Drosophila melanogaster: one gene and its partners. The protein of the gene in region 2 purifies or fractionates together with the protein of the main gene of each other region. This does not show direct contact. Each region holds a gene or a part of one and is shown on either strand. Other genes may lie near its edges. The genes, in order: RhoGAP68F, Rab4, Vps52 and Galphao.

Evidence for each region.
Region 1: the proteins of Rab4 (region 2) and RhoGAP68F purify together in Drosophila melanogaster (affinity purification with western blotting, with the first as the bait; one study listed by BioGRID). This does not show direct contact.
Region 3: the proteins of Rab4 (region 2) and Vps52 purify together in Drosophila melanogaster (affinity purification with western blotting; one study listed by BioGRID). This does not show direct contact.
Region 4: the proteins of Rab4 (region 2) and Galphao purify together in Drosophila melanogaster (affinity purification with western blotting, with the first as the bait; one study listed by BioGRID). This does not show direct contact.

What each region holds. Positions count from the first base shown.
Region 1 is NT_037436.4:12,137,035-12,144,479, forward strand, and holds RhoGAP68F (Rho GTPase activating protein at 68F), read left to right. Parts: upstream 1-1,833; 5' UTR 1,834-1,917; exon of another isoform or gene 1,918-2,067; intron 2,068-2,928; 5' UTR 2,929-3,057; coding exon 3,058-3,094; intron 3,095-3,966; coding exon 3,967-3,993; intron 3,994-4,105; exon of another isoform or gene 4,106-4,137; intron 4,138-4,217; coding exon 4,218-4,343; intron 4,344-4,406; coding exon 4,407-4,442; intron 4,443-4,499; coding exon 4,500-4,695; intron 4,696-4,758; coding exon 4,759-5,794; 3' UTR 5,795-6,346; downstream 6,347-7,445. Other genes in the region: Atg12 (Autophagy-related 12), read left to right, coding at 1-57, 125-261, 319-441; ND-SGDH (NADH dehydrogenase (ubiquinone) SGDH subunit), read right to left, coding at 606-744, 804-910, 982-1,211, 1,283-1,367; eIF3l (eukaryotic translation initiation factor 3 subunit l), read right to left, coding at 6,517-6,651, 6,711-7,445. UniProt on the Drosophila melanogaster protein: Functions as a GTPase-activating protein (GAP) for RhoA/Rho1 during gastrulation by converting it to an inactive GDP-bound state.
Region 2 is NT_033778.4:17,570,376-17,577,358, forward strand, and holds Rab4 (Rab4), read left to right. Parts: upstream 1-3,086; 5' UTR 3,087-3,323; coding exon 3,324-3,339; intron 3,340-3,408; coding exon 3,409-3,489; intron 3,490-3,559; coding exon 3,560-3,892; intron 3,893-3,955; coding exon 3,956-4,167; 3' UTR 4,168-4,604; downstream 4,605-6,983. Other genes in the region: POSH (plenty of SH3s), read left to right, coding at 1-791, 859-1,038, 1,098-1,391, 1,453-1,627; UQCR-6.4 (Ubiquinol-cytochrome c reductase 6.4 kDa subunit), read right to left, coding at 2,028-2,148, 2,277-2,329; CG42239 (uncharacterized protein), read left to right, coding at 2,548-2,658, 2,728-2,826; Dcr-2 (Dicer-2), read right to left, coding at 5,020-6,983.
Region 3 is NT_033779.5:5,517,726-5,525,450, forward strand, and holds Vps52 (vacuolar protein sorting 52), read right to left. Parts: upstream 6,174-7,725; 5' UTR 6,092-6,173; coding exon 5,947-6,091; intron 5,890-5,946; coding exon 5,288-5,889; intron 5,226-5,287; coding exon 5,010-5,225; intron 4,955-5,009; coding exon 4,799-4,954; intron 4,743-4,798; coding exon 4,624-4,742; intron 4,558-4,623; coding exon 4,437-4,557; intron 4,283-4,436; coding exon 3,653-4,282; 3' UTR 3,565-3,652; downstream 1-3,564. Other genes in the region: CG14020 (uncharacterized protein), read left to right, coding at 117-1,097; CG7382 (uncharacterized protein), read right to left, coding at 1,261-1,431, 1,487-1,896, 1,958-2,087; cl (clot), read left to right, coding at 2,676-2,820, 2,894-2,975, 3,411-3,564; Elp4 (elongator complex protein 4), read left to right, coding at 6,685-7,725.
Region 4 is NT_033778.4:10,434,987-10,442,578, forward strand, and holds the start of Galphao (G protein alpha subunit o), read left to right. Parts: upstream 1-2,998; 5' UTR 2,999-3,120; intron 3,121-3,261; exon of another isoform or gene 3,262-3,365; intron 3,366-3,484; exon of another isoform or gene 3,485-3,506; intron 3,507-3,619; exon of another isoform or gene 3,620-3,751; intron 3,752-4,384; exon of another isoform or gene 4,385-4,388; 5' UTR 4,389-4,459; exon of another isoform or gene 4,460-4,527; coding exon of another isoform or gene 4,528-4,645; intron 4,646-7,592. Other genes in the region: RanBPM (Ran-binding protein M), read left to right, coding at 1-43, 100-236; CG12895 (uncharacterized protein), read right to left, coding at 1,763-2,033, 2,096-2,277, 2,334-2,351. UniProt on the Drosophila melanogaster protein: Guanine nucleotide-binding proteins (G proteins) are involved as modulators or transducers in various transmembrane signaling systems.

The DNA of each region.
Region 1 (7,445 bases), on a different chromosome or scaffold from region 2:
CCCAGGCAGCGCTGAGCACTTCCTCCTCCACACCTGCAGATAAGGATGGTTCCAAAAGTGAGAATCAAAGTTAACTTTATATATTTTGCATTCGTTTTATCACAAAGACTTGCTTCATTATCAGTTTGTATCCTTCTGAACGCCACTGGCAATGTGCCCATCATCAAAAAGCGAACCTGGACCGTAGATCCCAACAAGACAGTCGGCTGGATACAGACGTTCATCCACAAGTTTCTGAAACTCGATGCCAGCGAGCAAATTGCACGTAACAAATGAAGTTCCAGAGAACCCTATCTTATGTGTCATCTTAATTTTTAGTTCCTGTACGTTAATCAGACATTTGCACCTGCCCCGGATCAGATAATCAAGAACTTGTACGAGTGCCATGGAACCAATGGGAAACTGGTGCTCTACTACTGCAAGAATCAGGCGTGGGGCTAAATCGATACGCACATGACTTTGCTAAGTCTTAAGTATTTATTCGACTACTGTGTAATTTTTATATTATTAAATGTGAATAAGATGATGTTGCGAAGTCGATTTCACACTTTATTTCCCACAAAACGGGATCCTAACAATGGTATTTAAAGAATATTACAAGGGTTCTAGTCTCCGCGCAGAGCCTCCAGCTCGTCAGCAGCCTCTTTCGAAATCCTGTGGTACTTGGCCACCGATGGTCGGTAGTAGTAGGCCTGGTAATCATTGCGCTCCGACATCTTGCGACGTACTTCGTCCTCAAGGAGTCTGAAAGGAAATATATTGTTTTACAATGGGATATAACTGGGTTGTTTCCGTCGCATTACCGAATCTGGGCTTTTTCGTTCTCCTCGTAGAGATAGTGCAGGGATTTCTCGTAGTTTTGCTGATCCGAGTTCAAAATGTAGCGGGAAATAAAGCGCGAGATGGGGTGCTAGATAATAAAGAGATATCTCGGAATTACAATCTTAGTATCGATTGGTTGCCTTTCCGAGCCCATCATACCTTCTCGTACTCCCAGTGCTTGGGCTCATAGCCCTCGGGAATCTCGGCGAGCTGCGCGGGTCCCACAAAGATGTTCGCGTAGAGAACCAATGCGGTGACTGGGATGACGCCGAGCATTACGTAAAAGTGCAACAGATCCTTGAACTTGTCCCACTGGAAGCGGGATGGCTTGATGATCATTTGGTGGTGTCCATGATCGCCTCCCATTCTGCGCAGCTGTTGGTGCAGGGCTAGAAATCCAGAATATATGGTTGCGTAATGTGAAGTGTGTTTACGGCGGATATTTTCAAGAAATGCTCACCATTCCGGCACGCGGGCTCTTGCAGGACAGCCCGGTAGCTGGCGAACTTCGCCGCCGGCGACAGCAAACGGCTCCAACCGACCATTTTCTAGTAGTTTTGCGTAAATCTCACGATATTTTGGAACTGGTCGTGTCAAAGTTGCGAGCAGCACGGCAAACGGTCACACTTTTTGCAGACCGTTTTTCTGTTTTGATATATCGATAACAGCAGAGATGGCAGAGTGAGTTGATTATTGCTGCTCAAGCACTAAAAATGTTTAAAAAAAATAAATAAATTGTTTAGGTTAAGAAGATGTGGCGAACAATAGATTAAAATAATTCACAACGGCTATTACGATCTAAATTTTTATATAAAATCCATTTTGTAATTCGTGGGAAGAGAATTATAAGCTTATTATTAGACATTGTCAATATACACAGACTTGAATTCAGTCACTATATAAATAGTTCTTAGCGATATTTCGTGCATGCTGCTCCGTGACACGAACAAGTTTTTCTGGTGTTCGTTAGATTTGTGCTTTTTTGCACCACTAATGGGCTCGCCAAACCAAAGTTTGCCATCACTAACCATCGACAAAAACAACGTCGTCTGGCAGTATAAAATTAACGAAGATTTTTTCCCGTACTGATAAAAGGTACTTTCCTAGCTAAATCTGACTCACAAACAGAGTAAAAACTTAACTGAAATGAGAAACGAAAGCGTGATTAAGACAAATTCATCATTCGTATAAAATGTGATGATTTCTTGTGACTTATAGAAATTCGTAACTTAGTATAACAAAAAAGTAAATATCATTTAAAAAGGCTAGACACAAATGCGCAGTTTACTTGCAATTAATCGGTTGTTGTTGCACAGAAATTGCGTTTTTCGACAAGAAACTTGTGAAATTTTTACTCAACTTCTGCGTGTGTGTATGTGCAAACAGTGGAGGGACAAAGGAGCCTACTCCCATTTACAGTGGCGGCCTAAAGGATTTGTCACCTTTTGAAACAGTGGTGTCAAAAAGGATGTGTACTAATCTCAGTTTACGCTTGAAAATTATTAATTTATTTCCCATTTACAATCCAATCACGTATTTAAAATAAAGTCATACAAGCTGTATGTACAGTGCACCCTCCCTAGTTAGGACGCTCAAAAAAAAAGAACTTCCGTTCTTTTATATACTCAAGTTATCACAAGAAATTATCGCGACAATATATAACCATTTTTGGCAGAAACGAAGGAAGCAAACTACGTTTCACTTAAAATTGTGCCTTTCTATGTGCTTTTGTGAAGCTTTTTGTCGAAATTGCGATAAGCAGCCTCTGTGTTTTTGTGTTATCTCTTCGAAAAACAATTCACTTGTCTTGAGACCGCAGTCATGGCCACTTTAAATGTCCCCACTGTATGTATGCATGTTTGAACATTAGAAATGGAGGCGGTGGGCGTCTTTCAGGGCCAACTTAGCACTAAGACTTCGAGCAAAATCATTGATGTAAATGAATGTGAATCAGCCGTGCCATACAACCTGTACTATATCCAATACCAAGAAATAACCATCGAACAAGCAACCCAAACAGCCAAGAAAACTACATAGCTTGCTAATGACGTCATCGATAGAGTACTGGCAACTGCTGCTTTTGGCTAATTTATTCTCACATTTCAGCCGCATACATTCTACATGCCAATAATCGAGCCCAACGACTGACTGAGCCACGTCCTGCGTCACCGCGAGTAATCCAATCACATCGAACGGATAGCACCTGAATCCGCATCCACTCCCATCTCCACCGCCATGGACGCCCATTCGCGTTTCGCGCCGAGATTACCAGGTAAGTCCGCCGGCCGAACGGCCAAGTCATGCTTTTCGATTCGAATATATATCTAGTTTTGATCTTTGGTTCTGTAACTGCTTAGCATTGCCATTGTCCAGTGATTTGCCTTATTTGAGCGTTCAGAAATAGTTCCCAAAATAAAGAACTTCGTTAATACTAACTACCTAATCTAATGAAAGACGTAATTGTAAAAGAATTATCTGTTTGATTGCCTAAATATAAAGTAACTAATTGTGGGTACACCATATGGAAACCCATTTTCCCATCATTCTCTTTTAACTTTGAGCCCACCATGAAGATTATAAAAACGGGCCTAAAAATATGAGGCCAGGTTTTCTACAATACCTCACCTCCAATCTGTGTTTCAAGTTTTGGGAGTCATTTCTTTGCGCTGCTTTATTTCGTTGTTTTCATTGCCGTATCGTAGTTTCTTTGAGGGGGGAAGTGCCCTCGTTTGAGAACTAACAGTTAAAGCCAGTAATTACGACTAATTTTGTGCCCCGCCCCGCCCCGCCTTGACTAACCCCCAACCGCCGCCCCCTAACCAAGTTCTTTGTTTTTGGTATCAAGTTGCGCTACTAACCCCATTTCAAACTGCATTATCCAGCCTATGTGGGCAGCTTACCGTCTCCTCCTGTACATACATAACTTGCATTTTAAAACTATCCAATGTGGTTTGTTTGCTTGGTTTGTTGTGGATCCTATTTGTTAACTACTTTTCGCTAGCTGTGTTGTTGCCAATGTTTGGTTACCCGATGTGTTTTGTGATCGTATGTGTTTGCCCTAGCCCTTATAGCCTTACTTCATAGTCTATAGTCTAATCGCCCTAGCTTAGAGTTTCCTAATCGTCTCTGTTCTGTTCTGTTCAGTAATCGTCTGCCAATTATATCGAAACCGTAAGACTGTTGATTATACAATCAGATGCCAATGTACTTAACAAATGAAATTTCTCTGATTCATGTCTATTCACTTACTCAAACTCAATCCGAACTAAACTTGTTGCCTCAGGCCGTCAAAATACTTAACTGAAAGCATTACTTGTAAGATTACGTTTTTGGAATACAAGTCCGCGCCAGGGAAACCTACGAGATTTATAAATGCCTTCCTCTCGCACCCCAAGGTCCCGCCATCAATCCGATCGTCGATAACTCGGATGAGCCCCAACCCAGTCTCTCCGATCTGCACGACTTCGAGCCGAAGCTAGAGTTTGATGATACCGAGCTGCTGGCCCCATCTCCGCTTGAAAGTAAATTGAATATTTAAAGAATCTACAAAATCATAGTCAAACTAATTCTTCGATTTTTCCCAGAAGATGTTATGGTCGGTGATTTCGTTCTGGCCGAAGGTAAGTGGCGGAATCTACTTCTCCTGGCCAATGAATAACGTTTCGCATTACGCCTAGATCCAGAACTTGAGCCCGAGGAAGATGTAAATCCGCTGGAGGACGACTTCGAGGACCAACTCAGGGAGCAGTCTGAAAACTTTCAGACTCCCAGAAACAAATGCGATTTCCTGGGAACCGATAAGCAGGGTCGCCACATCTTTGGCATTTATGCATCCCGCTTTCCCGAAAAATCCCAACTGGAAGGATTTGTGCGGTAGGATTCATATTCGAGTACATTTTTTGTTCAATCATTAATCTATTTCCATTTGTCTATCAGGGAAATCATCAAGGAGATCGAACCTTTTGTGGAGAACGACTACATTTTGGTTTACTTCCATCAAGGCCTCAAGGAGGACAACAAACCATCCGCACAGTTCCTGTGGAATTCGTACAAGGAGCTCGATCGCAACTTCCGCAAGAATCTGAAGACGTTGTATGTGGTTCATCCGACGTGGTTCATACGGGTCATTTGGAACTTCTTTAGCCCGTTCATTAGCGACAAGTTCCGCAAGAAGCTAGTCTACATCTCCAGCTTGGACGAGTTGCGCCAGGCGCTCGGCCTGAACAAGCTGAAGTTGCCGGACAACATCTGCGACCTGGACGACAAACTGAACCCCAGCCGGAAGCCATCGACACCGCCGCCCAGCAGCAATATAAATGCATCCCGGCAGCAGCAGCACAAAATGGCGACGACGCATCAATTTGGTGTGCCCCTGAAATTCATTGTGATGAACAGTCCGTGCTTAAACTCCATTCCGCCAATTGTGCGCAAGTGCGTGGACTCGCTGTCCATAACGGGCGTGATCGATACGGAGGGCATATTCCGTCGATCGGGCAATCACTCGGAGATCATGGCGCTCAAGGAGCGCGTCAACCGCGGCGAGGATGTGGATCTGAAGAGCGTTAATGTCCACGTGATAGCCGGCCTGCTGAAGAGTTTCCTGCGCGATCTCGCCGAGCCGCTGCTCACCTTCGAGCTGTACGAGGATGTGACCGGTTTTCTAGACTGGCCCAAGGAAGAGCGTTCGAGGAACGTGACGCAACTGATACGCGAAAAACTGCCAGAGGAGAACTATGAACTGTTCAAGTACATTGTTGAGTTCCTGGTCAGGGTGATGGACTGCGAGGATCTGAACAAGATGACCTCCTCCAACCTGGCCATCGTGTTCGGTCCGAATTTCCTGTGGTCGCGCAGCACCAGTACCTCCCTGGAGGAGATCGCTCCCATCAATGCTTTCGTCGACTTTGTGCTGCAGAATCACAAGGACATCTACTTGATCGACGTCAATCAGCGCACAGTGTCCGTGGACTAACAACTGGCCCGGCCACCAACAAGTCCGTAATTGTAAATTGTTTGATTTTAATGTTAGTCCTAAGTGAACCAATGGTTAGCTAAAGAGAGAGCACACAAAAACGCAACAGAAACTAGAGAACAGAAGGCAATGTCGTGTATAAAGTGTACTGTAATCCTAAGTTGAATTTTAAACTGTGTGTATGTGTGTGGAACTGCTTGTAGCCCCAACTCCACGCCAACTGTCCAACCCCCCCGAAAATCACAATTATTTACCCCCAACAAGCGCTTAATACGATTGATTTACCAAAGAAATTTGCTCGTGTTCGCTATGCGACGAACAGGAGAGAAATTTGATATGAGATGTTATTATTATATACTACGTATTAATTCAACGCACATTCCCCCATAACCGAAAACGAATCTTGGTTGCGTTGCTGAAGGCACATGCCGAGCACAAGTGGAGTTGTGGCGAACTCAAAAATCGTACTGTGTAGTCTTGAATTTCCTTATAGTCATACAAACAATTTTTATAAAATAACGGTATTGTTAAAAATAAAGCAAGTGTTAAAACAACTTGGATTCTTATTAAAAATTAGATAATTATTTTAAATTATTTAAATACTCAAGACACATTTTGAGGACCAAACTTGCGCAAGATCGCAAGCGATTTTTATTGATATCGAAACAAATCGGTCCAGTATGGAATATTAAATTTATCATTAAGGGTCACAAGGAGTCGGCTTAAATGTTGATGTTCTTCAATTTGCGATTCAGATCGTTGAACTTAAGAATTTTACGCACAAAGAAGTCGCCATACCGATGTGAAACCTTGGTGTCGGCTATGTGGATCATGTCGTCGTCGATGTAGAAGTCCAACTAGAATATTAATGTATATTATTATATTTGCCATCAGAATTTGTCTATATTAATCTCACCTCGGAGCCAGACTTGAATGTGCCTTCCAGGCCGCTGGGTCCCTTGCTCCACACTAGGTTGCGCATTTTGTGCTTGAAGCAAAGCAGGCGAATCAGCAGCTTCGACACGTCATCCTCGCTGGCGTTGGGATCGATGAAAGATGCCAGTTTGGTCAGCGGCAGGGTGGTGTACAGCTTTAGATACGAGCGCGTTGTGGGCAGATCCTTCTGTTGGCGCACCTCATCCATGAAAACCTGCAACTGGTGTTCCATGGGGTCCTTGACGTAGTCGTCCATGGGTGCGTCTACAGCTGGCGGGCAGGGGCTCACGAAACGTGGGCAGGCGAAGACAAAGAAGGACTTGAAGACCTCCAGATCACCGCACTGCATCTTAAACATGGCGTCGTGGTAGTTCTTTTCCCTGAGCACCTGCTGGATGGACTCGTCGATGCACTGGGGATGGAGTACCAGGCAGATGGCCAAAAGATGGTACATCTGCTCGGCCTGCTTGTTGATTTGATCGTTTTGGTATGAACGCGTGCTGTACAGCTGCTTGGTACGCTGAATGTACAGGAGGATATCAGAAAAGGTGCGGATGGCATCAGCGTAGCGGCGCATCATCATGTAGGCGAAGCCCACGTAGTACGACGTCGAGATTTGGCAGGCGGGGATGTGCGAATAGGCGGACTTCTTGTGGATCTCAATGGGCTCCAGCACCTTGATGGCCTGGTAGTAGTCACCCAGCAGCGAATGAAC
Region 2 (6,983 bases):
TTGCTGGGAGGAGGAGCTCCATTAAGTCTGCTGCAGACCAACCGCCATTCGGCTGAAATTCTTAGCCTGCCCCATGAACTAAGCCGCTTGGAAGTTTCCAGCTCAACAGCTCTAAAACCCACGTCAGCCCCACAGACATCGCGTGTACTTAAGACCACTGTTCAGCAGCAGATGCAACCGAATTTACCCTGGGGATACTTAGCCCTGTTCCCATACAAACCACGCCAAACGGATGAGCTGGAATTAAAAAAGGGTTGTGTTTACATTGTGACCGAACGATGTGTGGACGGTTGGTTCAAGGGAAAAAACTGGTTGGACATCACTGGAGTGTTCCCGGGCAACTACCTGACGCCCCTGCGCGCCCGCGACCAGCAGCAGTTAATGCATCAATGGAAATATGTTCCCCAAAATGCAGACGCCCAGATGGCACAAGTACAGCAGCATCCAGTTGCACCAGATGTGCGACTCAACAACATGCTGTCCATGCAACCGCCTGATTTGCCACCTCGTCAGCAGCAGGCTACCGCCACGACCACCAGTTGCTCTGTGTGGTCGAAACCAGTGGAGGCGCTGTTCAGCAGAAAATCGGAGCCCAAGCCTGAAACTGCCACAGCTTCGACTACGAGCAGCAGTTCCTCTGGAGCAGTGGGACTTATGAGGAGATTAACTCACATGAAAACACGCTCCAAATCTCCGGGAGCGTCCTTGCAGCAAGTTCCGAAAGAAGCTATTAGCACAAATGTGGAATTTACAACAAACCCATCAGCTAAATTGCATCCAGTACATGTAAGGTTAGATCCGCAATAATAAGTTATCTTTATAGACCAGAATAAAAGTTTAATTGTTTTGTCTCTTCAGATCCGGCTCGTGCCCCAGTCAGCTGCAGCACAGTCAACCGCTCAATGAAACTCCAGCAGCCAAGACAGCGGCACAACAACAGCAGTTCCTACCCAAGCAGCTGCCTTCCGCTTCTACGAACAGCGTTTCGTACGGATCGCAACGCGTGAAAGGAAGCAAGGAACGTCCTCACTTGATTTGGTTCGTTAGGCTTAATTTGAATGCTTTAACTTTTAACTGACTCTTGGATTTTGATTCAGCGCGAGACAATCATTAGATGCAGCTACATTTCGCAGTATGTACAACAATGCCGCGTCGCCGCCGCCACCTACTACTTCCGTGGCCCCAGCTGTCTACGCCGGCGGTCAGCAACAGGTGATTCCTGGAGGTGGAGCGCAATCCCAGTTGCATGCCAATATGATTATTGCACCCAGCCATCGGAAGTCGCACAGCCTAGATGCGAGTCATGTGCTGAGTCCCAGCAGCAATATGATCACGGAGGCGGCCATTAAGGCCAGCGCCACCACTAAGTCTCCTTACTGCACGAGGGAAAGGTGGGTTTTGCAATACATTATTGTGAGCTTAGAGATTTACTAATGCAACCTTTTATCGTAGTCGATTCCGCTGCATTGTGCCGTATCCACCAAACAGTGACATTGAACTAGAGCTACATTTGGGCGACATTATCTACGTCCAGCGGAAGCAGAAGAACGGCTGGTATAAGGGCACCCATGCCCGTACCCACAAAACCGGGCTGTTCCCCGCCTCCTTTGTTGAACCGGATTGTTAGGAAAGTTATGGTTCAAACTAGAATTTATTAAGCGAAATTCCAAATTACTTGTCTAAAAGGATTCAATCGTCGGTCTATTCGGGCTTCCAAATACGCAATCTCATATTTCTCTTTTCAAAAAAGAAACCGTTTTGTACTCTTCCAATCGAATGGGCAGCTCGCCGTTGTACTTTTTTATACAATGCTTGATCAAAATAGGCTAGCCATGTAAGACTTAGGGAACAGTTACTTAAGCCTTAGCGATTAGTTAGCTAGAGAAATAATCTAACCGATCCTTGTGCCCTCTACAAAGTTATTTGTAATATACGATACTCAGTAATACCCTTTGGTCGTTTTAACTTATTTTATTCACCAAGCAAAACATCGAGGCTAACTGTGGATTCAACTACGGCAGGCAAGGTTACTCGCTTTTTTCGAACTTGGATCCGTAGATGGGCACGTACTGTAGGACCAGCTTCCAGTCGGTGTAGTAAAGCACGGCCAGGCCAGCAGCTCCTCCGAATCCGGCTCCAGATCGGATGCTACGAATTAAAAGAAACTAGTTTAGTTCTCTGGATGGGGTTATGCAATGTGTGCTTTGGTAGCAGTAAAAGAGCGGGAACACTAATGAATTCATGATGCAGAATCAAGCACGACAGCATATACTTACAAGGAACTCGCTATCTCAGCGTGCTTCTTGCCAAAAGGTATGCGGAAAGCCATTTTTGTTGATTTAATAACTTTTCACACGCACCAAAATGTTCGCAATGAACGCAATAGTTTCAAATGTCCTAAATAATACCACTACAGTGTGACCGTAGGATAGCGTAAAACTTTAAAAGCAAGGTGTGACAACACTGTGCGGCCTACGTGAGAACAACAACTAGTCATCAACAAAAACTAATATTCGCAAAGAACTCATCAAAAATTACGAAATTAAAATGAAAATATCCGTTTTTGGGGAGCTTAACACATTCGAGCTGTTTGTCCTGTCCACTGTGATACCGGCGGTGTTCGTTTTCCTTTGGACTCTGATATCTGGCGATATGAAGGTACGGCAGATAGTGCTTATCAGAATGGTTAATTTTAAGTAATTTTCCCTTTCTGCCCTGAGTTTACAGAACTTCAAGGGCAGCAAATTGGCATACTCAGTTTATACGGCCAAGGATCCCATTAATTGCTATCAAGACTACGAACCAGAGAAGCAAAAGGATACGTAGACTATGTGCCGGGTTGGATTACCAGGGCCCACCATCTTTTATACTTTTATTGCATATATGTATGTATGCAAATTGTGTGATGAATAGAAGAGGGTTTTTGAAAAAAGACAATAAACCTTTGTGGGCTGCATTTCATATTTTGTTTTTTCTTTGTAGCTTTCGGCAATTTTCATATATTTGGAAATATTTTAAAAGTAAACAAAAACTTAATTGCAATATGAATCATATTTTGAACCACCTGGTCACACCCACCCCTTGTTGGTATTTTCGCGTTTGTAGCGAACCTTCTCACTGAAGTGAGTCCAGTCAAAGATTTTAAGGTAATTTTTGGCTTTCTAATTGTTTAAACGCTTACTTATCGACGGATATTGCGGGTTTTGATCGTGTCCTGCGCACTTCCTGGTGCCCATACGCACCAGCAATCCGATAGTCCTGAAGTCTGGCCGAAAAACCAAAACAAACAAAGAAGACAACTACGCAGAAGACGAACAAAAACAATGTCGGAAACATACGGTTTGTCAGCACACATTTAATTAATTAATGCATTTTACTAATTAATATCGGTGCTCGGCGCTCACCTAGATTACCTGTTCAAGTTCCTGATAATTGGCAGTGCTGGCAGCGGTAAGAGTTGTCTGTTGCATCACTTCATCGAGAGCAAGTGTAAGTTTGGTGGTAGCCTGAAAATGGTACACGCCTAATGCATTTTATACATTTTGATGTACCATCAAAGTCAAAGACGACAGTTCGCACACCATCGGAGTGGAGTTCGGCTCGCGGATTGTGAACGTGGGCGGCAAGTCGGTAAAGCTACAGATATGGGACACAGCCGGTCAGGAGAGATTCCGATCGGTGACAAGATCGTACTATCGCGGAGCAGCCGGAGCTCTCCTGGTCTACGATGCCACTTCGCGGGACTCTTTCAATGCTTTGACAAACTGGCTGAATGATGCTCGCACTCTGGCCAGCCCAAATATTGTGATCCTTTTGGTGGGCAATAAAAAGGACTTGGAGGAGGCGCGTGATGTGACCTTTCTGGAAGCAAGCACCTTTGCCCAAGAGAACGGTCTGTTTTTTAGGATTCTCCATAAATTTCCTATCGTAATTCTACGTCTGTTTGTCGTTGCAGAGCTTATCTTCCTGGAGACGAGCGCCAAGACGGGGGAGAATGTTGAAGAGGCCTTTCTCAAGTGCTCAAAGACCATACTGGCCAAAATTGAGACCGGAGAGCTGGATCCCGAGCGCATCGGCAGCGGTATTCAGTACGGCGGAGCTGCTCTCCGTAACTTACAGACACGACAGCGCAGCATCAATAAGCCGGATTGCACCTGTCGCGTTTAAGTCGCATAAGTTGTGCTGATTTATTTCCATTTAATCTCAAACCGGAATGCGCATTCGGATTACCCCTTAGTTGTATTGTGTACTTGTGTGTGTCCACTTTTTTAGTATGTATTTTGTCTTGCTAGATTAATCATTCCAATTGTAAGCATAATGCTAATCGATTTGTTTTTTAACATAACCAATTACCACTTTGAAAACCTATGATTTCGGGTTAACCCCAAATGTTACTTACTATAATTTGTAATTCGTGAAGCACTAGAGCCCTCGAGCAACAAATGATGTATGGCTATAAGCACATGGATCTGATCTAGAGGATGAACAGAATACACTCGGCATTTTTAATGTAAATAAGTAGCGATACGCCGTTGACGACGTCGCCGATTGTAAATCCCATTGAAGCATGCACGCGGTAAATAAAAACGCCCATTGATAAATTCAATTGTATAAAAATATTTATTTCGACCCAAGGTAACAAATATTGTATTGGGGAAGCTATTAAATTTTATTAATAACAATGAAGCTAAAACATTTTAAATGGCAATAATTGATAAAAAAATAATTAAAAACCGTTTGTATTTGAGGAAATTGGCATAGCATCTTTAGATTGTGTTTCCAAATGGGCTGTTTTTGTTTTGATTTAAAAGGTCTTAACAATTTATGGTGATCAAAAATGATTTTTTGGTTTTAGACATTTATGTCTATTAAAGCGATGGAAAAGTATTTTTTAATTCTAAGATATACAGTTAAGTTCATTAGGTGCCCTTTGCTGTCCTCTTCCAAAGGATTACGTCTTGGCTAGAAAGCAAATTCAATGCAGTTTAGCAGAAACTAGACTGGGCTGGAATCATCATATTAGGCGTCGCATTTGCTTAGCTGCTGAAGGGCGTGCTTGGCAGCCGATAGCTTGGCCTGGTCCTTATTGCTCCCAAATCCGTACACCTTGATCGTCTTTTCCATGCAGGTAAATTGACAACTAACCATTACAGTTTCCCCTTCGACGATGGGCGAGCTAAACACGGGCTTCGCATGCTTGTGCTCAACGAGCTGTCGTATATGATTGATGGGCACTTTGCGCGTGAACTCCTGAAGCTCCGGCTCGAAGAGATTGAAAATTACCTCCCAAGTACGTTGGAGATCTCGGCAGTCCAGGTATACGGCTGCAATAAGGGCCTCCAGAACATCCCCCAACGCCTTTGGCACATCCACGTTTGTGGACATGTTGAACTCACCTTTTGGTGGGACTCCTTTCTCTGCTTCCTGAGAAATGCATTTATTTGCATGCGGTAACTCAGTCATATCCAATTCGTCATCCAAGTCCAGCGGAGTCGGCTGAACATCAGCTTCCTCGAGCAGAATGCGCACATAGTTGGTAACCCGGTGACCCTGGCTCTCCTGGAAATTCACGAATTTGGATATGATCTCGGAGAGCTTTGCGTTCTCCGCTAGGATAAAAAAGTGCAACCGATGCCGCACGCAAATGCAGGCCAGCGTAGTATTGTTGACCAAAGCGGAACGCAGATCTGTGAGGGCGCCCGGATTCATTTTCGTATTGTTCTCGAAAATATAGGCAGAGATTAGAAAGTCGAGTATGGCATCGCCAATAAATTCCAGCTCCTGATAGGACCCAGTGATGCGATTAGTGGGATACGAGGGATGGGTGAGGGCCTGCAACAAATATCGTCGATCCTTAAACGTGTAGCCAAGATTTTTTTCCAAATAATAGTGATTTATGAGAAAGCCGTCAATTTCTGTAGTATTCACGTTCGCCCGCATTTTCTTGCCGCCCAGTTCGAGGTTCAGTAACTGAGTAAGCGGCTTGTCAATATCCGCACGGCAAATCTTGAAGTACTCTAGCATCTTGAAGGCATGCTGCAATCCGTAGTTCTTAACGATTACGCCCAATAGCGCCTCAAGGGTATCGGCTATCACCTTGTTGGGAATCGTGACCAGTCCCACGCAGAAGTTCACCTCGGATGAAAAATCGGCACCGGCATAAAAGGACTGCCCATTTGCTCGACATCCCTCCACGAAGCGGTTGTAGTTGATATCGCTGCAGTTGCCCTTCACCAGGGACTCCTCATCGCCGAGAGCCAAGTCACGGAGATTGTGTGGGCCAATAATCTTTGCGAATTCCGGATTTTCTCGCCACAAGGCTAGAACATTGTGGGGCAAACTGATGCCAGGTGGAAGCCATGTGTATCTAGGCGTAAACTGAATGGTGTTGAGCGTTTTGGGAATGTCCGCGTCGATGAGGCAGAACAACAGGTTACGATTAGACACAAGCTTGGATTTGACCTCTGTAAGAGTGCCCTCATTCCAATCCGAATACTTGCTGGCCAAGTAGAGCGTGGCACTAAGTTTTAAGAAGGAATCGCCCAGAATCTCAAGGCGTTCCATGTCGAAAACATCCGCTGCGCTCGAGGCAGTGATTGCAGCCAAAAACTCGCCCTGCTCCGCTGGCGTTATATGTTCTTTGGAAACAGTTTTTTGCAAAATGAGCAGTGGTTTTACCTTCCCGCGGACAGTCGGTTTCGACGGCATCAAAGCTGGCACGTTTGCGTTAGTCTTGGCCGGAGTTCTGTTGCCATAGATATTACCCGTGGGCATATGGAACTGATTTTTTGCCCAGTATTCCTTATCTTCAAAATCCATCTCATTCATCTCACATACATTACCAACGCTAAAATGATAGTAGTAGTCCAGCTCTACGGGATACGTACTCAAAAGATTTCGCGACAGATCAACCGGCTCCATATACTTTTGCCAGGGATTTTCGAATTCTGTTATTTCAAGATTGGCCACGGACGCCTCAATGG
Region 3 (7,725 bases), on a different chromosome or scaffold from region 2:
GTGGAAATTCTATTTTGTTCGTTGCCTGGCAACGAAAACCTCGTTTCATAGCAAACCCAGTGGCAAGTGTCAAGAAAACAGGTGCTCAAAAAAAAGGTTGATTTACAGAAGACAAGATGAAATTTATTCCGCTGCACACGACAAACACGGCGATCGTGTACAAGAACTCGCTGTGCTCCTTTGCCTCGCTTTTGGTCCTGGCCTTCATTGCGCTTTCTGTGATGCTGCCCGTGCTGCTCGTGTCCTTGCTGAGTCCCTATTCTGGAATATCAGAATCGAGGGTGCTGTACGAGCAGCCGAATGTCGAGTTCAACTACGAGTACATATTCGTGGGCACAACGGATCAGGGGGAGTACGAGGAGGAGGAATCCCTGGTCGCTTGCAGCAGCTTCAGCCAGTTCAATGAGCAAATGGAGAGTTATACGAATAGCTGCACCACCACTAGATATTGGACAGAGGATGTGGACTACGATGGCGTAACAGATCGGGCGCACTTTCAGCTGGAACTGCAGGATGTGCCCACGCGATTGGTGAGCTTCAATCTGCTGGTCTTCTTTGAAGCTGAACTGCAGCACAAGTGCGATCTATCGCCTCCGTCCGTGCTGGCCCATCAGTTACAGCTTCCTCTGCACGCTCGCCTCAGAAATGGACACGTTCAACTGAAGGGAGAGCTGCAGCTGAAGCAATACGTAGAGTTCACCTGTCCATTTCCGGGACGCAACATCAAGACTCAGTTCCGACAGGTTCAATTGGATACGAACTCTACCAACGGAAATATAGATCAGTTCAAGATGGAATCGCTGCTAGCGCAAGTCAAGGCCAATCCAGCATATTTCCAGCTGGCCGTGCAGGAGACATACTACAGAGAAACGTCAGCGCGCTTGCAGCCTGGTCTCATCATTGACCTGGAGCTGGACGTGCTCCAAGTTGCCGCTCGCTATCATCTTAGCATTTGGGAACGGCTTGGACAGTTCTGGCTGTACTTCGCCTCCTTCTTCGGCATCTCGTTTTACATAATGAACAAGCTGAAGGACTTTCTCTTCGGACGCCACATCGTTCGCTCCTGGGAGATCATACCGTGGAAAAAGCTCTACTGACACCAATCGGGCGCCATTTTGGAGATGGACAACTTCTCGATTGGCGAATAACTTAAAGGTGACTCTGCTTGGTTACCCAATGCAATTTCATTGTCAGTCAAATAATAAATATAACAAATGTACAGAGAATTTAAGAGGAGAGCAGAAGATCGGAAGGATCCGCCTACTTATCCCGGCTATTGGACATCAGGGCTAGGTTGCCAAAGGAAGATCCAGCGGACGCTGGCTCGGGGGTGGGGTCAAATGCACGGTTGTCCTCAAGGATGATGGTGGTGCGGGGATAGTGATCCAATTGCACGAACAGATAACGATACTCCAGTTTACCAGAGTCACTCTGTAAAAAGTGAGGATTAGAAAAATGCGGCCTGGGAGATATTCATCACACATACCCTTCTGGACTCCAGCTGCACGGTGGCCTTGTTCCTCAAGCCCTGCACATAGAACTGCATCCGCATGTGGGGCTTTCCATTGCGCTCGTAGCTCGAGTGCGCCACATGCTGTCTGCGACCGCGCCTGGATGTCTCGCCGAATCCCTTGATGGGCGCACCAATTGCATCCTGTACCCGCGGATCTTCGACCACACGTCTTAACGCGTCCGCGTATATATTGTTCGGGCTTTCGCTGGAGAATAGCTCTCGGAATATGGCAAAGAACATCACGCAGGTCACCCCTAATCCGGCGATTATAATCGCCGTATAACTGGCCGTCTTAGTGTTCTCCTTGATCTTCTCGCCAATGGGGCGCACATCCGTCGACACCTGGGTGTTATCCTGCGATCGTTGAAGGGATCCGCCACCATCTGCATGAATAATATAGTAAATATTTCAGATGTAACCTGATGAGAAGTTTGAGGCACAAACCGCGCGACGCTTCCTGTCGCAAATGTGGACTCCAGTGCATCGCCGCCGCACATTTTAACCTGGCAAAGTTGGTGGGCAACAAATTTTGCCGCTGAGTGACCAAATTGCGCAATAAAGCTAGCCGTGACATCGTTCACGACGAAATCAATGGTAAAAAACAAATAAACGTACTTTACGAAAAAAAGAATTCTAATCAGCTGTTTAGTTTTTCGATACAAATAGTGTTGCACATTTTCACCAATTAGCGGGTTATCGGGCTATTCCCGCTAAAATGGCTATAGCCAGCTAGAATGGCGTTTTTATTATTTCGATATTTACTAAAAACAAGAAATTGTTGAAAGTAAATTTTATATGTTTAGGGTACACAGATAATATTACAAATAAATCATATATATTACAAATAAATTTCGAAGTCAACGTATCTGTTCTTATTTATTTCCCTTTCATACGTTTCAAAATCTAAGCTCGTAGCTAAAAATCTATTATTTTCATTGGCTTGAAAATGGCCATGTATCAGTGCGCTCGAAAGCTGGTAACCCTGCCATCTGTGATAGTAAGCTTTTTTTACGTCAAAAAGTCAGAAAACCTGATAAATTAGGAGAAGTCCATTCCCCTCCAGAAGCCAGTTACTCCAAAGTTCGCCATCACGTCGCTTCCAACGCTTTTCGGTCGCATACTCAGACGCTACTGCGCGGTGAATACTAATCCCAGCAAGATCATGGTGGTCACACACAACGTCAAGGGATACGATGAGTTCACCAAAAAGATGGAGGAACTGGAGAACGGCGACGAGCCGGTCCACGTCCTCTTCAGTGGCGGCAAGGACGAGAAAGGAGAGAGCTGGTGCCCCTACTGCGTCAAGGGTGAGCATGCCGTGATCCCAATGCGGCTAACCGCAACCTATCCGATTCCCAAACTCATTTCTCACGTTTGCAGCGGAGCCGGTGATACACGATGCGCTGAAGAAGGCCCCGGGCAACTCGCACTTCGTGCATGTGGATGTGGGCGAGCGGGCATAGTAAGTTAATACCGCCAAACTGAAGAAAACAGCTGCGATTAGTTAGATAAGCAGGAATTAATATTTCATGCACTGCGAGACTGCGAACATCTGCTGGTTTCTTTGGTTCGAAATAGCCAAATAGTTTCAAAACACAGGCTTAGTCATTTAGAATGACGTACATATATGCATATATCCCACGTCATTCAGTTGCCAAAACCCTTTGTCATTCGATTATCAAGTTCAAAACATTTTGGCAATGTGAAACTAGTCACTCAACCCCAACTGTACGATGATGAAATAAGCACTCGAGTACTTTTTCACACGCCGAGAACATTCATGATAAAAAAAACCATTAAACAACGATAGCTTTACAATGCTCTTGAGTTGTATTCATGCCGCCTGTTATCACTGAACCGTGGTAAGCAATAAATTAACACTTGTTTTTCACTGCAGCTGGAAGGATTTGAACTGCCCCTTCCGCAAGGATCCCAACACGCATCTGATCTTCTTGCCCACTCTGTTGCGCTGGAAGCGGCCACAGCGTCTGGATGGCGAGCGCTGCTCCAATCAGGATCTCGTCGAGATGATGTTCGAGGATGAGGATTAAGTCGTATACCTTACATACATTTATTTTGGAACTTTACTCAATTTGGAATACACAGAAGACACACACACAGATTCAATTAAAGCGTCCCTCAGTAATTGCTCTTGTACTTCTTGATCTCCACCATCACGACGTGGATATTGGTCAGCTGGGCGCGGGCATTGGGCGTGAGGAGCTTGTGGAATCGGTGATAGTATTGCACCAAACTGGCCAACGCAAGCTGCAGAAGCTGTGAGCCCGTCAGCAATGAGGGAAATGAGAGAAGCACCTCCCTGTTTAGCTCCTCCAGAGATTTCTTCCAATTGGCCGAGAAGCTGGCGACCAAGGCCAGACTTCTTCGCTCCTGTTTGCGCAGCTCATCCATTTGTTCCTTCTCGAAGAAGTGCTCGCACTCCTTGACGAACTGAATAATGCCTCCGAAATGAGGGGCCAGGATCTCCTCGACATATTCCGCACTGCGGGAGTTGAGCTGCTCTCTGAATGCCTCCGCTTCTTTGGAGTTATCTCGCGTGTGCTCCATCAACACGCCCAAAACCAAATCGTAGTTGTTTATCAGGTAGATTAGCTGATCCTTTCGCGTTGGAAATATTGCGGCCATGCGAAGGATAAAGCACTCCACTTCATTTTGCAGTTCCAGAAGCAGTCGGCTAACCAATTCATTAGGAAAATGCTCCGAGATTCCCACAATGGCCGCACTGAACTCTGCGTAGCGTCGTGTTATCTGTAAAGTATACGTATTATATTATGACAAGGCGTTTTGTTCAAAAGAAATGGTTAAAAGTTATCTCTATTGGCCCTCTCTTGACTTTTAGAATGCTATCAACATCGATTTAAGATAATTTGTAACCCGTACTAACTTTAAATCGTATACTTACGTAGTGCGGTCCCAATTCCTTGTTGAACTTGGTTGGATCACAGTCATGTATGCTCTGGATATTCAAGCGGAATACTAGTTCGAAACGTGGCCATATTACCGCCTGCAGGGAGTCCCAGTATCTGAAATCAAAACATATAAATATCCAATTGTGAACCAAAATCATCAACGCCCATGAATAGACTCACTTATCCAATGCGGGAACACAGCGCTTGTGGCACATTAGCTGATAGCGGAAAATGAGATGGATGCACAGGAACATGGCAATGGTATCAAAACAGTCGTGTATGGAGGTCTCCAGATTTTTCTAGGTTCAAAAAACAGATATGATTAATATTTCGCAAGTAAAAACCATTGACTTACAATCATTAGAGTTAGGGTTTTGCCCATGATTTGGTTGAACAAATCTTGCGCTTGAGTGCCGCGAACCATAAAGAACTCCGTGACAAATAGGTATTCCCGACAGGCATTGTCCACTAGGGCGTATTGCTCCGACCGAAAGAGAGCTTCCGCTGTGTACTGTTTAAAATTTGAGATGTATCTCCTTTGCAAGTGTATGTATCACATCTCTTACTCGATTCTTTAGCTGCGCATGTGGCACTATAATTGGTGCCTCCAGCTGCTGGTTAAGTATATCGCCTCGCTTTCCTATTGTGAAAATGGTGCTCTTGTGCTTTAGACTCGTCGTCTTGGAGAATAAACCTTTGGATGCATTATCTTCGATGCCCATCAGATCGTCCTTTGTGCAGGACTCCTCGAATTTGAGGCTCGTCAAGCGTGTGGAATAACTCTGCAAGAAAGTTATGAATTTAAGAAAATTCATGCTTCCACAACTTTGAAAAAAAAACCAACCTTAAAATAGCTATAGTAAATTTTGCCCATCGTATCGATGTATTCACTGCATATTTCCTGCGCCACATGCCGCTCGTTGGACAGGATGAACTCGAAGAAGAATTTGTGCTTCAGCATGGCGTTCTGTGGAATCTGGTAGTTTGTCATGGGCTTCCGGAACTTGTAAATCTGCTCCAGCAGATAGGAGCGAATCTTGGCCATGGCTTTCAGTCGAAGCTTCTGCAGCACATCGCTCACATCGCTGGTGGACTTTGACTCTTTGAAGCTGAGCTCCTTGACCAGCGAAAGTTTGTGATTCAGTACATTCAACTGGGTGCTGAAATCCCGCTCCGTAACCGGGGTTTCCATTATTATGTTGATCATCTCCTCGGACACGGCCATGTCCTCGATAAACTGGGACAATTGAGCCTTGACCGACTGACGATTGGTCAGTTGGAGGGACATGGATACGGATTTTCTTTGCAGCTGCGTGATCTCAGTGCTTATGTTGTTCAAAACGCTCTGGAAGCTCATCAGCATATTTTCCATGCGCTCCAGGACATCGTCGCAATCGTTTATCTGATTGTGCAGGTTGGCTATATTCTGCGACTCCGCTATATAGTCTGGTATTCAAAGGGATATCATTAGAGCTAAGTTTGCATATGGAACATGGTGCTTACCCTCTATGGACTTATTCTCCACCTCCTTAAACTCCTTTTCAATCTGTCGTGAATATTGCCGCAGATCCGTGGTGTTCTTTAGGATCTCCCGCACCTCCTCGTTGTCCAGTTGTTCCGTCATTTGCGGGGACGGCACCTCGGCCATTTTTGTTTTCCAATTTAAAGGTATTTTTCCCAATTGTTTTTCTCAACTACCAACAAAAATAAAGTATGTCATCAAAACAGCTGTTTTTGTTATCGGAGTAAGATGTGCTTTTGGAAAGACCCTAATATTGGTGATGAGAACTAAACTATGTTTTCAAAAAAAAAAAAGATTTCTTGGTTCATATAAAAAATTACTTAACTAATACAATTTTAATTAAAATTAATTTTTGGGTGAAAATTGAAATTGAATTTAAGACCAATTTTTTTCAATTATTCATTTATTTGTACACAAGCAATCAATGAGTTTCTTTTCTAGTACAACACTTGACTTGTGCCTCTTATATTCTACCAATTATACAACATGAACACAAATTTATTTTTAAGCAATAAAAGCTAAACTATCGCCCTACCCAGAACTTGCGAATTAACAGCTGTTTTGACTATCGATACACAATTGGAGAGTGTGCCCCCATTGGCAGCCATCGAGAATAGATAATATCGAAAGTATCGAAATAGAAGTTTACGCGAAGAGAAGGAAACACATAGCAAAAAAGAACGCAAAAAATAAAGGTTAGCGAAATCTGTGCGACGAAGATGACCAGTTTCCGCAAGCGCACCGTGCAGAAGCCAATCCGCGGCACCCGCACCTCACCGCACACGGCGCAGGTGATCACCTCCAGCGGAAATCCGTACTTGGACGTGGTCATTGGCGGCGGTCTGCCCATGGGTTCGATCTGCCTGATCGAGGAGGATCGCTTCATGACGCACGCCAAGGTGCTGGCCAAGTACTTTCTGGCCGAGGGTGTGATTTCCAAGCAGGAGATATTTCTGGGCAGCCTGGACGACATTCCAGCCGAGATGCTGCGCCGTCTGCCCAGACCGCTGACCGACCAGGAATCGATGGAGCAAAGCGAGGTGCAAGCGCTGGGAGATGCTGGCGCCGAAAATGGCCTAAGGATCGCCTGGCGATACAATGATCTGCCGCTGGTGAATTCGGAACATGCCACAGCAAAAATCGGACACCATTTCAATCTGATGGAACAGATGGACTCCATGATGCTCTACAATGTCAAGACTACCTTGTGGGACGATAGCCCCAAGCATCTGGACATCGTCATTGACGAGGAGTTCTCCAAGAGCAGCTCCCCAACCACTCCGTCGCTGGAGCAGCAGCCCGTGGAGGATGCCCCACCGATTCCGGGCACGGAGACCGCTCCGCAGGAGAAGATGCCAGCCCAGGAGGAGGAGAACTCTGCCAACAACAATAATAACAACAATAACAATAGCAGCAGCGTGACCAGTAGCACAAAAACAGGCAGCCAGGATTCGCCGTTGCAGGTGTTCCACAACCCTCGGTACAAAGGACTGCTCAACGATATTCAACAGCTGCTGCGTAACGAGAGCTTCGTCGCTGGGACCAAGAATAACCTGTGCCGCGTCTGCCTGACCTCGTTGGGATCGCCGCTGTGGTACGACGAACACTTCGGCGAGGATCTGATCAAGTTTCTCACACTGCTGATGGCCAGTGTGCGGAACTGCAACTCCGTGTGCCTGATCACGATGCCCATGCACCTGATTGCCAAGTACGATGCCAGCCTAGTGCCCAAGATCCGCCAACTGGTGGACTATGCCATC
Region 4 (7,592 bases), 7.1 Mb from region 2:
CGACGTGAGAGTGTTTCCACCACACTCAACTCGGCCATATTGGGTAAGTCTTTAAACACTTGTCTCGAAACGAAGTTACTAATTACTATGATTATGCAGAGTCCCTGAACTTCGAGCGTCGTCCGCCGCTGGAATACCTGGTGGCTCACGCCTCGGAGCTGATCAAGGTGATCGGACAGCACTCGCTGGGCGAGGACGCTTTCATTACCATCGACGATGTGTTCCCGCAAAATTGACCCAGTTCCCCGACGCTGCTGAAGATGTTCGAGACCACGCTGACCCTGCCGCGAACCAGTGTGCTTACGGAACCGTTGGGCAGCGCCGGAACCGGATCTGGGCCCTCCACATCAACGGCTGCCGTGGCAGTTCAGACCAGCAAACGACGCCGAAGGCGGCGTAACAAACGTCGCCGCAAATCCTCCCTGTCCAGCAATACCGATGCCCCGTCGTCGCGGACCTACGATCCCGTGATGACGGGCAGTACGCTCCGGTCGGCAGCTGTGGCATCGGTGGGCGGGGGCACGGGCACGGGACCAGTGCGTCGGGGTCGTCGCAGGAGCGGGGTCAGCTCATCTTCATCGGCGGCAGCGGCTGCAGCAGCGGCAGCGGAGGAGGAGGCGGAAGAAGCGGAAGCGGAGGCGGCTCGCCAGGAGGAGGAGGAAGCGGAAATCTTGAGCGGAAACAGCAGCCCATCGATGTTCGTCGATCCGCAGGACTTCTTCGAGACACTGGACTAAATTTAGATTATTTACAATTTGCAGTAGGTTAAATTTTGTTGTTACTTCCGTTCTCTTTCTTTTTTACCTGCGCAACCGGCTTCAGTGCGCCTATTTAAAACTAATCGCCGTTCTTTTAATTGTTCGATTATGCTAAAGATGCTATGCGTTTGGCGGCCTTTGATTTGGCGTGATTTTTAATAACTTTTAACATATATTTTATATAGCCTCTCTAAGCATAAAGTGTGTAATATTATGATGTATAATTAAATTTGCGAAATGTGCTGCGACACGACCCTTGAAATTGAATTAGCCCTTTGTTTTTCGCTTCCACCGCCCGAAACACAACAATCACACACCAAAATATAATCTAGAATTGATAGTGAAGGGACTAGCCTGGAGCAAAAGCTGTTCAATCATCTCCTTAGCATGTTAATATAGAACCGAATCCATAGTTAACTGGTAGACATTCGCGTTTTAATTCTCCGTGTTTTCAGCGATTTTCGATGGACTCCGCGCCATCCCGTGTCTTGTGGCAAGACTAAGCAAAAGCAAATGAACATTTTAAGTGTAATGTTTCGCTATAGTGTTTAAGCGTATTAAAATTTAATCTATATATACAAGATTGGTCATACACACATTCGGCAAACATGAATAGAATTTAACTGGATAATCGTTTAAATATATTGTATGGATGTGTATTTCAGGAAAGCGAGAACTGTGTTTTAAAGGGGGTTCAAATTGGATTAAATATATGCCATTCTGACAATGTGTTCAGTTTTATATATTAAAATTGTATCTTTTCAAATGTCATGATTTGTTGATTAAGCTGAAGTTTTCAACAAATAAAAATAAAAATGAAAGCACATTCAAATTACCAAATCACTTGCAACCGTATTATTTATTATTCCGTATAAATGATCGTTTTTAAATACCAGGTAAAATGCAAGTTCAAGTCATTGGTCTTTTAAGGATCAGGAGTAGAATAACACATTCATTTAATACATTGTTTTGTATGCTTATATATATAATATAGTTTATAATGTTCACAAATCCGGCTGCCTTATCCTTTGCACTTTTTCATGATTTTTGACGTGCTCCTTTAGCAGACGCATTATTTCGGTATCGAATTGAGGAGGTGTTGGCTTGGTATCGGTGGCCCAGTAGAATATATCCCAGTCGTTGCTGACACCATTGATCAACTGATCGTACTCGGCGGTCTGCTCGGCATTGAAGTCCTTCAAATGCTTGGCCACAAAAGTGCTCAGCAAGAGATCGTTTTCCAGCATTCCGCGTTTCCTGCTTTGATACAAAAGGCTGCACAAGATAATGAATGATCATAAGTAGGAGTTTGGGATATTTTCATTTTAAGCGTATACCGCTGCTTGCGAGTTTCCAGCGGCTCATCGGGACGGACAGGATATTCCGGAACTGGCAAATGCGGCGGATCATCGTAGTCCACAATTTCCCCGGGTGTTGTGTACTCAGTTTTGTCCAAATTGCTGGCGAGGCGACTTTGGGCCATCATAGGTAGTTGCAGGCGACGGCCTACCGTAGATACCTGTGTCCAATTAAGCAATCAATTATATTTTACTACATTTGGGGCCATAAACTTACTATAAATTGCCGCAACATTTTAGGAAACGACCAAAACAATGATATAACGACAGTGTTGGCTAAGAAAGTTAAGTATAATCGATAGATTCCTGCTATAATAATCGGCTGTTGCTATAAATAGTGCTGGAAAGTGCACACTTTGTTGAATTAATCATTTATTTTATTTAACCGTTCAAACCTCAGGCGAATTTAAATTAAAATAGTTGTTTTATTTTAAATATGAATATATTTGGGAGAATATGCACTGCAATTGTTATGAAAGGTATGCGAATTTTTAATAATTATTTGCAATAATATAAATAAAAAATATATCTCTATTTGTATCACTTAAAGCTCAAATATTGTATTCATGAGATCCTTTTGAGTGGCCTGCTATTTAAAATCCAGATAAGTTTCAAAACATAATAAAAAAATAAATGTCTGTACATACAAAGTGATGCAAAATATTTATTGAAACTAAAGTGAGCATGTTCTTTCATATTTATATAAAACATTTTATTAAATTATATGTATATAAATAGCGGAAGATTTTAACAAATTTAAATTTTTAAATATAAGCTTGTTTTGCAGCAGCTGTTGTTGCGGCCAGTGCTGGTCAACAGCCACCCCCGCCGCGTCCAGTGCTGCGCACCGACGCCGCCAACAGCTGTTCGAACGCCTCGCTCTGCAGTTGGAAAGAGCGAACGAAGCGAGAGAGAGCAGCTAAATTTTCGCACACCAGAAAAGTGCAATTTACCAATATCACTGCGGCCAAAAATACAAGTGCAAGTGCTCGGCAAGTGCAACGGTAAACTATCACGATCGGTGCAATAAATACAGCGAGTCGCGAAAAAGAAGCGCAAAGCGAACGGAACCAATAAGAACAGCCAAACGCAAAAGAGAGCCTCCTGCACACACACGCACACAGCAGGCTGAAGCAGACCCACACACACGCATACACTAGTGCGGTGTGTATACGACTGGAAAACTAGGCGGTGGTAAATGTGAAGCTGAAAAAAGCTGAAAAAAAGGAAAAGGAAAACTCGTGGGGTGGTGGGTGGCGGCCCAGTGGGCGGGGGGTGTGGCGTGTGCAGCGCGTGAGAGTGCGTAGTGCGTGCGTGTGAGTGAGTGAGTGTGTGCGCGCGTGTGAGTGAAACAGCGACAAACTAAATGAAAATTTATACATCCGAAATGGTTAACAGTTTGCATAAAAACGGCATTACTTTTTGCATATGTTAATGTGCTTAGGCAAACGCTCGAAAAAGAAAACTCCACAACCCACCGCCTTTTTTTCCACCAACCCGGCGCTTTTTTAGCGCCTACGCCCACGCTTAATACATACACACTGCATAAAAAACATACAAATAAAACCAAAAAAAAAAAAAAACAAACAAAATTTATAAAAGTTTTATTAAAAGTGTGACAACAAAAAATAAGTGGTATCCAAAAAATAAGCTTGAGTTTTTGGCTCTTTGACCTCGAGACTAATTCACTTACATGATAAATTACCATCGTTCTTATCGCGATCCAGCATTATCTGATGGATTTATCTTATCAGCGCGATTGATGAATTTTGTATCGATATCGCAAACATGCTCCATATGCAAATTAGCTGGCTATCATTGCTTTTATTTTTACTTTGCGTCTGCTGATAAAAAACAAAAGCAACATAATTGATACAGTGCGCGGCCCATTGCACAGACAGTGGCGGTCATAAAATTAGTGCTTGTCTCAGTACAGTACAACATCCATAGAGCGAACGATGTGTTCCATAAACCTTGTAACATCAGTTTAAAATAATCTTTTTAACTATTACATACAAATTAATATACAGCTGTGTTTCTCATAATAGTTGAGTAACAGAAAGAATATTACAATTACAATTACAATTTGTGTTTATACACAGCAGACAAAATTAATTTAAGATAACTCAACATTATTATTTTGAACTCGGCTGTATATTTAACACATCCTTGATATTCATTGGTTCGCCTTATCGATCGCGCACTGTTTATAGTGAATCATCCGCTGACCCGTGTATTTGTTATTGTTGATGGGTTCAATACTCCATTTCAGTTGAAATCGTTAAACTGTACATAAGCAAATAAGACATAAAGAAAAAAGTCCAGGAAAATTGGAAAACAAAAGCCCGAAAACCGAAAAGCCCCGTGTAAATCCGAATCCGAATCCAAATCAGTATCCAAACCCAACCACAATGGGCTGCACCACATCCGCCGAAGAACGCGCCGCCATCCAGCGATCCAAACAGATCGAGAAGAATCTAAAGGAGGATGGAATCCAGGCGGCCAAGGACATCAAGCTCCTGCTGCTGGGTAAGTGCACTTTTCGTCGCTTTTTCTCGTTTTTCCACTTGGGTTTTTCTCACCGGAAATGGAAATCCTGCTCAGCGTTTACCTTTCCACTCGACTCGACTCTATTGTTCGTTCTATTTTGGTGGAAATTGCTGGTTTATCTATCGGCCGCCAGATTCCGGGGCACTTGGAAAATTTTATTTTCGGTTTTATGTGCCGATAGATAGGGGGATATTTATTGCACACACTTTTACTCTGCGGCGGAAATGCTGGATGTACTGGACGCAATTTTGGATTAGCTGCTCTTCAATTTCCATCAAGGCTTATATCAGAGTTCACATTTTTTAGAAGATTCAAAGACTGGAATAAAAGTAAATTCAAAAACTATGATTTTTGTATGTACTGACTGGTTATTTAAATTAAATGTAATGACTTGTTGCCCCACAAAAGGAATCGAACTCAAGGTTATTCCACTCTATTTGAGTGCTGATGAATCGATTCCATGACAAAACTATTTTTAGCGTGTTTTTTTTGGCCAAGGCGAAACCGAAGTAATTTGGGTCAACTTTTGGGTGTTGCATGTGGCATGGATATCCGAAAATAAAATGGACTCATGCACCACTGTGCATGCAACATCTTAGACAATGGCAGCAGCAACAGTTGCATCCGCCCTCGTGGCAGGCGAGTGTGAAAACCTAAACAGTTTCGAGGAGCCATGTGGCCTGCGGATGACTCGGTCCGATTAAAGTGGTTTCAGTACCAAACAGTTCGATAGTGATGAAATAATTACAATGTTTTTAAAAAATATATAAAATAATGACTAGAATTAGCCAAATCTAAGAAAACAGTGCAAATTATCTGAACATAGCTTAAGAATTTAAAGATGCTAAAAAATCATCATGTAGATATTGTCTTTGCTGTCATCTCTATCCTGCATCAGCCTGAATCTCATCGTCGAGTGCATCTGTGAGCTGCAGCTGCAGCCTTAGCCTTAGCCTTAGATTTTGTCCAAGTGCGTCTGCATCCGCCAAAAGATGAGGGCAATCGACGCCACTTGACATTGAAACAATTGCACGTGTGTGCCAGTGGGCGGGTGTGCACCATGTAGCATGGTTTCGAGGTGCAGTGTTTGTTAACCTGGTTGCGCCACTGACACCGAAATGTCAGTTAATCCCATTGACTTTGACTTGCCCCCGAAAACGAGATAGGGATGCAGTCAGGCAGAAAAAGGACAAAGCTGCAATATGCACGGGAATTTCTCTTTCACTTTAACATTGTACACAAACATGTTGCGAAAAACAAGCAAAATCTCCATATCGTGGATGCACTTAAAGCAGCATTCAAACAAACCAAAAGTTAAAGATATAAAGTTTACAAAACATTTAATGCTTAAACCAAAAATAAACCAGATCAAAGTACTTCTTATATGACTTAGTTAAGATAGATGCCTTTTTTTTTTTTTGGAACAAGTTTCTCAAGTTAATACATATTCCCCTGCTCTGTAACCCGTTTTTGTTTGCTGTGTAGGCCCATTACTTCCCACACAGTTGCTCGCTGTTGTTCTGTGCAATCAGGCAAAACTTTTAAACGCCCTAACAAGCAACAAGGAGCAGAGTCGAGTAGCGAGGAGTGCCGAGGAGGGAGTGTATTGCAGCCATGTTGCAACATTGAAAGTGCGACGGTATGGGCGATTCTCTCTGCAGGGGGTGGTGCCCAGAAGCCGGAGTCGGGGGCAGGTCGAGGGGCAGACGAATGGCAGGCGGAAGCATCGAATGGCGGCCAGGAAACACTAACGAAACAATGGACACAGCGGCACCGGACGGAAGGGAGCGAGAGGAAACGTGTACATGTCCTGGGTGTGGCTGCATACTTCACCACAGCACTGTGCCTCTCGAGTGGCGCCTCCTGGCGGAAGTTTGAAGAAACCGCCACTTGAGGCATAATTTTCAAGCCGAAAGGAAAGGCTATTGAGGAAACGTTCGATGCTCGTTTGTTTGCCACTTTGCCGGCCCTTGTGCCGTCGAGTGATATGGCTACGTGAAACAATCAAGAAACAATTGCTAACTCAAACTGACTAGTTGGCAAATAAACGTCGTAGAAGTTTCATTTTTGTAAAACCCCAACATTCCTAGATAGATAAGAACAAAAACTATTAGTTCTTTGGTAGAATTTTAAATAATTATTATGAGTTAAAAAAGATAAGACTCTATGTTTATGAACTCGAAAAGAATTTTGTTTTATCTTTTCCAATGATAAAAAATAATAACCATATTCCAATCAGAAGAACGTTACAAGTTTAAATATTTTTTAAAGTTATAGTTTATATACGAGTTTTTTATATAGTGGAATTTTTACTTTAATTCGTCTGAAAAAGTGCGTAACATCTTAAATATATTTATTGCGATCTGGAGAATATAATTTAAATACGCTCCGGGACCTATTAAGACCAATTCTTGGAAAACATTTCGATTTGTAACTTTGGGGAGAATGAAACATTCCGTTTTTCTAAAGCCTTAAAATGCGTCACCGATTTTTCTTTCAAATTCTTGAATAATTACTTATATTTCTTGATCAAATTATATTTTTTTTTATCAATATGGAGCTGTCGACAACCCATCCAATCTGGAACACCAAACATATGTAGCAAAGCAATTAGGCTGGGACCCGCTTCTCCCAAATTTCGGAGCCAAGCAGTCCACAAAATGACAATAAACAGGCTCGTTAAATAAACTATAAAAGATGCCAAATACAGCACAAATCGAACGTAATTGAGCAAAGTCAAATGTCGCCCGAGTGCCAAAAGGCCTCGCGACCTGCAACCCATGGAACGCCACAGAAAATGGAAAATGGCATTCGATGGATGGGTGGTTTTGGCTTGGGCTGAGCATGGGGTAGGTGCAGATTGTTTCGGACAAGTGCACAAGTGCTCCACTTTGCCGCTGTCTGTCACTTATTCGAAAGAGCGCAG